2 linked regions of the Mus musculus genome follow. The protein of the gene in region 1 interacts with the protein of each later gene in a pairwise test. Links are inferred from orthologs where the notes say so. Each region holds a gene or a part of one and is shown in the gene's direction. Other genes may lie near its edges.

The links. The genes of interacting proteins can lie anywhere in the genome.
Region 2: the proteins of Map2k3 (region 1) and Arnt come close enough for resonance energy transfer, tested with the Homo sapiens proteins (2 studies listed by BioGRID). The link is inferred for Mus musculus from reciprocal best matches to the Homo sapiens genes MAP2K3 and ARNT.

What each region holds. Positions count from the first base shown.
Region 1 is NC_000077.6:60,945,543-60,949,060, forward strand, and holds part of Map2k3 (dual specificity mitogen-activated protein kinase kinase 3), read left to right. Parts: coding exon 1-20; intron 21-1,101; coding exon 1,102-1,229; intron 1,230-1,568; coding exon 1,569-1,646; intron 1,647-3,518. UniProt on the Homo sapiens protein: Dual specificity kinase. Is activated by cytokines and environmental stress in vivo. Catalyzes the concomitant phosphorylation of a threonine and a tyrosine residue in the MAP kinase p38.
Region 2 is NC_000069.6:95,489,885-95,493,402, forward strand, and holds part of Arnt (aryl hydrocarbon receptor nuclear translocator), read left to right. Parts: coding exon 1-72; intron 73-370; coding exon 371-494; intron 495-668; coding exon 669-771; intron 772-1,138; coding exon 1,139-1,286; intron 1,287-3,518. UniProt on the Homo sapiens protein: Required for activity of the AHR. Upon ligand binding, AHR translocates into the nucleus, where it heterodimerizes with ARNT and induces transcription by binding to xenobiotic response elements (XRE).

The sequences.
Region 1 (3,518 bases):
GCTGTCTGTGATCCACAGAGGTCAGTGTCCTCCATCAGCCACAGAGGCTCAGGGAGGGGCAGACTGTGATATACCTGCTGGGGAATAGGCCGCTTTCTGCATTTGTGCCTTTGGCTCTGCCTGCTGCACTCTGAATAGGAGGAACTAAGTGGATCCCAGCTTTTTCTGAGCTCCATGGCCCGCTTCTCTCTCTCTCTCTCTCTCTTCATAAAGATGTATTTATTTATTATATGTAAGTGCATCAGATCTCATTATGGATGGTTGTGAGCCACCATGTGGTTGCTGGAACTTGAACTCAGGACCTTCTGAAGAGCAGTCAGTGCTTTAACCACTGAGCCATCTCTCCAGCCCCATGGCCCGCTTCTCATTCATATTTACATTTCCTGTGCCGTGGAGCACCTAGGTTGTGGCATGTCACACTAGGACTCTGATACAAGCCCCCTTACCCCACACATGACTATCCTGGACTCTTCTGGGATTCCTTTGCCCCCATGGCCACTAGTCTGGGCTTCCCCCTCCAGGGTTATACTTAATTAAGTATCAGCCTCCCATTAACTTGGTTGCACTGTACCTAGAAAACGAAGGAGGCTAAGTGGACTTCGATGACCAGCACCCATCCCATTCTGTCCACGGGTCATCATTGTTGACTCTTTGGCATGGAACCTTCCCGTCTTTTCTGGGGCATCTTTGTCTTTTTCACATCCATGTGGCCCTTTGCTTGGAGGCTCCTGCCTCCTGTGAGACAGGGATGGGTGGGGCTCCTCATTTGCATGCACAGACCCATCCGCATACCTTCACTCCACCTCATTGTTCACCCACTACCTTCTGCTTGCTGGATTTGTGTCCATAGCAGGTGACGTGCTTAGGTAGCCTCAAGGTAGAGTCTCCAGAGCTCAGATGTTTCTCTTTGGTTGGGATAGGCTGAAGTTCATTTTGATTTGTCATCCAGCCGAGCGATGGGGCCTGGTGCTGCAGATCTCACTGCCGCTGTTTCCTTGGCTAATCCTTGGGGCATTGGGTAGCATGCTGCTGGCCCACAGGGCACTGGAGAAGGTAGCATCCCATTTGGCATGGACTGAGAAAGGTCTGCTCTTCTTGTAGATGTGAAGCCATCCAATGTCCTCATCAACAAGGAAGGGCATGTGAAGATGTGCGACTTTGGCATCAGTGGCTACCTGGTGGACTCTGTGGCAAAGACAATGGATGCTGGCTGCAAGCCTTACATGGCCGTGAGTCAGGGCATCCCCGCAAGGTGGAGACCAGGACAAGATTTTGCCTCTGTGCAGTGGGCTGGCTATTTCCAGCCGTACCTCCAGTCTTAGAGACCCTGCCACCATTTACCTATACTCCATGATCCCTGTTTGGATGAACTTGTGTTCTCTGTTGTTAGGAACATGGGGATCCTTAAGACTGGTGGCCTGGGGGGAAGGCAGGGGTTGGCTCTCGCTCTTGCTGGCCTATATCATGCAGGCAGGAGAACCTAATGGTATTCTGTTTTGGTGTAGAAGAGAAAAGGTCTAATTGAGGGAGCCTTGTTGGGTGTTCAAGCCTTCTGGTCTTTCTTGCAGCCTGAGAGGATCAACCCTGAACTGAATCAGAAGGGCTACAATGTCAAGTCTGATGTCTGGAGCCTCGGCATCACCATGGTACGTCTGGGGCTGGGCTCAGCACTTGCTGGCCTGTTGGGATGGATGTCTGTCTGTATAGGGTCTGTGGGTTCCATCAAACATTTCTATATGAGTACAAGGATATCTGGGAGTTGTAGGACCCTTTCCTGACCATCATGATTGTTCTCTGTATCCTGTGATTTCAGCCTTTTCTCTAGAGCCACTGGTGTAGATCAGGAAATCCCAGGCAATGCTAAGCTTAGTTGTTGCCGTGCAAGTAAATCAAGAAGGCAAACTCTTAGCTGGGCATGATGGCACCTTCCTGTGATATGATTCCTATGGTAGCATCCTTTTTAAATGGTTATCCTCAGCTTCATAATAAATTAGAGGGTAGCTTGGCCTTCATGAGACCTTGTCTCAATATCCTTCCCAACACTCAAAAACAAAACAAAAAAAACCAAAACAGTGCCTGGTCCCCCCCTAAATAGGAACCTATTGCTGTAGGTTCCTTTTGTGTTTCTCTAGGTTCAGTAGCATGAGGCTGTAGATCCTGGCTTGTGGAGGCTGAAAGGACCCTTGGTTTGGAGGGAGGAGCAGGGCCCAGACCATTAGGATTGAGTTGGATCAGACAAAGCTAAGTCCAGGTGTGGGGATGGACTTTTTTGCCTTCTAGAACTGCCTGGCCGAGAGCTCCGATGCACCTATTAATGTGATAAAACAATAACCAATGACCAAAAGGGACTTGGGGAGGAAAGGGTTTATTTTGGCTTACAGCTTTCCAGTTGCACCCCTTTACTAAGGGGAATCCGGGCAAGAACTGAAGCAGAAGCCACGAGGAGTGCTACTTCCTGGCTTGCTCAGCCTGCTTTGTTACATTACCCAAGATCACCAGCCCAAAGGTTGGGTTGAGTGTCTATGGTGAGCTGGGGTATCCTACATCAATTGAGAGAATGCACAGGCTTGCCCACAGGCCAGTCTGTGGGGGGGGGGGGGGAACGACACACGGGACACACCTGTTTTCAGTTGAGGCTCCCTTTTCCCAAATGACTTTAGCTTGTGTAGCGTTGACACAAAACTAGCCAGCAAAATGTTACAGTCAAGTTAAACTCTTTGAAGATGGGGACACTTCTGTACTGAACACATGTGAGAAAATGATATAGCAAGAATAGTCTATCTTCCGTTGCAAAGATATTTAACAGAAAGGGACATTCTGACCGTCAGGAGTCACAGTTACCAAGATATGCTGTCCACTTTCTTCGTTCCTCCTGCCTAAATGTTTTGAGACTGTCCAAGTTCCCATGATTGATCTCATGACTATTGGGGAAGACATTTTGTTATTTTTAAAGAGGCTTTATCTTGAAGGCAGGGTTTTACAGTAGGGTTTTCAGGCCCCAGGAACAGGAGCAAGGCTTGGACTGTCTTCTAGGACCTCTTCCTCCAGGTTCACCACTTATGTTTATCCTTGGCCCAACATTTCCACTTAAAATGCTGCAACGGTACGGTTCAGTGCATCCCTCTTGCCCTGGGAGCTCTGGGCACACAAATTTCCTGTGTCTCAGAATACAAGGGAGTTACCTTGCACAGACACAGGTCACACTCTGAACCAAGAAGGCCCTGAGTGGTGTCACCATCTCCACTGCTGTCTCTGACGCTCAGTCATTATAGGGGGCTGGCTCCCGGGGGGTCCTGTGATAGGTAAACTGTCTTATATGTCTTTGTGTTGAGTTAGTTTTTATTTATCTTTTTCTAAACTCTTTAAAAAAAATCATCAGGCTGAGCAGGGTAATGTATACCTTTAATACCAAGAGGCAGAGACAGAGGCAGGTAGATCTCTGAGTTCAAGGCCAGCCTGGTCTACAGAGTCAGTTCCAGGACAGCCAGAGCTACACAGAGAAACCCTGTCTGGAAAAG
Region 2 (3,518 bases), on another chromosome or scaffold:
CAGCAGCAGCAGCACACAGAACTGGATATGGTACCAGGAAGAGATGGGCTGGCCAGCTATAATCATTCCCAGGTGAGTGTACCTTTTTCCTATAAGGAGACAATGAACATTTCTTTAAAATGTATATTGAAGCTACCAGAATGGTTTAGTGGTTAAGAGAGTACTGCTCTTGGAGAAAGCCCAAATTCAATTCCTAGTAACCATAGTGGGTGGCTCACAATCACCTGTAGACACTATGTTCATATACACAGACACAGACACAACAATTTAAAACAAAAATGAATCTTAAAAACAATATTTATCAGTGCCAGTGAGAATGTTCTATATAAAATTGAACATTATTGATTGTTTTCACTATTTTATTCCATAGGTTTCTGTCCAGCCTGTGGCAAGTGCAGGATCAGAACACAGCAAGCCCCTTGAGAAGTCAGAAGGTCTCTTTGCACAGGACAGAGATCCAAGGTTTCCAGAAATCTATCCCAGCATCACTGCAGGTATGGGTTTCTTCCGCAGGCTCCTTTTACAGGCTGAGTTTCATTATTACTGATGGGACTGCCCAGTCAGCATACTTCTACTTCAGTTACAGTACTTCATGAATAAGTAGGAATTGATTAAACTATGTGCTACAGCCCCTTGATGGCCCTCCCCCAACTCCTTTTGGTCTGCAGATCAGAGTAAAGGCATCTCCTCCAGCACTGTCCCTGCCACCCAACAGCTGTTCTCCCAGGGCAGCTCATTCCCTCCTAACCCCCGGCCGGCAGAGAATTTCAGGTGAGCCCCATATGTGTGTGCTGCTTGACAGGGCTCTGCAGGGTTCAGTTGCTGGATCCGTGTGTCATCTTCCCTTGCTTTCTCTGGTCACCTCAGACAAAGCAGTAGAACTTACTGGACCTAGGGTGAGACAACGAAGCTGCTTTTCCTCCTGTTTTTGCACCTATTCTATTGCCTTGCTCTAGGTTCCAAACGTCTCTGTGTGGTCAGTGTGTGACAGTCAGTCTTTCTTGTGTTTTTAAATTTATCAGGTTTTCCTTAACTCCAAGAAATCAGAGGAATCTAGGGATAGAATGTGTCCTTTGATTCATAGCTTCTGTGATGGAGTCAACCTTTTAACCTTCACTTTCTATTTGTTCCTTCCTAGGAATAGTGGTCTTACCCCTCCTGTAACCATTGTCCAGCCATCATCTTCTGCAGGGCAGATACTGGCCCAGATTTCACGTCACTCCAACCCTGCCCAGGGATCAGCGCCGACCTGGACCTCTAGCTCCCGCCCAGGCTTTGCCGCCCAGGTAGCGCCTCTTACCTGTCTGACCCTGTGTGTTGTTGTTTGTGGGATCTTTTTTTTTTCCTCCAGGTAAATTTATTATTGTCAGATACCTCCTTTTCAGTTCCTGTTCTTCATCTTTTAATTTTCATCTTTTTTGCGAGGAGCTAGATAATTAAAATACCAGAGATAACATCCAGAAGTCTCTTTAGAACCTATGTTTTCATATGCTCACCTTAAGACAGAACTGCTCATTCACAGCAGTTTGAACAGCTTTGGTCTCAGGCTTGTTTGGAGTAAATTCAAAGAGTTTGTCTTTGTTTAGGACTATGTAATATAGTACCAAAGTAGAAAATTAGTAATTATATTCATTTATTTATGAAAATATAGTATCCATCTATATAATATATAGTAAATATGTTAAATTTATTTATTACTATGTATTTCTCTTGTCTATATAATAATTTAGAAAAGTTTAAAAAAAAATGAAAACTCAAACTTGACTCCAGAATTGTTCTCTATAGCTTTTTTGTGTATGTGTAAAAATACTCAGGAATGTTGCCCATGACTCTTGGTCAGGATGTGCCGTGATGTTGATGACAGCTGCTACCATGGTTTTCATACTGGTGACATAATCAAGCATGCATATATTATCTCCCTTGGAGTTACTTTTTAAATTGTGGATTTAAAACGGTCTCTAGAAATTATTGTATCTCACAAAAAATGTTAGAGGCAATAACTAGTTTCTTAATCAATATACAGTAAATGGGTGTGAGAAAGGACAGCTTTAATTTCAACAAAGAGACTGAGGCAGGAGCATGGGCCTGGGCCACATAGTGAGAGATAAACTGTCTCATAAAAGAAAGAACAGAACAAAACCAAAATAGCATAATGGAAAATAAAAGAGGACATTGTCCACTGTGCCAAGTAACAGTCTCTTCTGGTGGGGTTAACAGTGAGGTTTCATTTCTAGTTTATTTTTTCCAATTTTTTTCTATTCTTTTTGAGGCAGATTTAGAATTTATATTAAACAACCCTTTGCAGATTTACACTTAAAGTCAAGAGCAAAAGAGAAGCACTCAGAACTGAGTGTGGGTGTGAACTCCCTAAGATGCCACCAAATTCCTCTGTAACACATAGGGATTCCAGTAAAAAAGAAAATGGTTGTGCCTTTAGGAAAAGGATCTAGAAACGGGTGCAGTGTGGAGTGAGTGGTTTCTCTTTTATAACACTCTACCATTGGGACCCGAGAGATGACGCCATTGGGAAAGTGTTTTGTCACTTGAGCCTGACCTGATGACCTGAGTTTAATCCCCAATCTCCTTGGGGGGAAGAGAGAACCAATTCCTGCATGTTGTCCTCTAACATGCGTGCCAGAGCATGCATGTGTTCTCATGTGCATACATACTCATGCACACTAAAAATAAGGTGGAAACCTTTAATACCACCACTTGGGAGGCCAATTCAGGTAGATTTCTGAGTTTGAGTTCAGCCTGGTCTTCAGAGTGAGTTCCATGACCTCAGAGAAATCCTGACTCCAAAGACAATAGAAAAAAGAAATAATAATAATAATGTGGAAAATAATAAAGGAAAACACCCAGTGTTATTGACATCTGTGTGTACATGCAACCATTATACAGAGACATGCACATGAACACACACAAATGAAGTGAAGACATGTTGATCTCTGGTTCCCATTAATTTGTGCACAATAGCCTGTACATGTATGTTGAACTTGGACACACATGGATGTTATGCTTTCTATTAATTGCCATAATTTATGAGCTGATTATATATAGGAATAGTTTTTTTTTTTAAGATTTATTTACTTATTATATGTAAGTACACTGTAGCTGTCCTCAGACACACCAGACGAGGGCGTCAGATCTCATTTCGGGTGGTTGTGAGCCACCATGTGGTTGCTGGGATTTGAACTCTGGACCTTTCGGAAGAGCAGTCGGGTGCTCTTACCCACTGAGCCATCTCACCAGCCCCAGGAATGGGTTTTTAATAATGTTTTCATGTATTTATATAGTGTTGTTTTGGGTTTTTTGGTCTTTTTGAAATAGAGTTTCTCTGTATAACAGAGTCCTGGCTGTCCTTAACCTGACTTAATAGACCAGGCTGACCTTGAACTCACAAGAGGTCTATCTGCCTTCATCTCTCCTTCCCGAGTGCTGGCTGGGATTAAAGGCATGTGCCACCACACTGACCCGTATACAGTGTATTTTGATCATAACGTGTTCTACTCCAGACC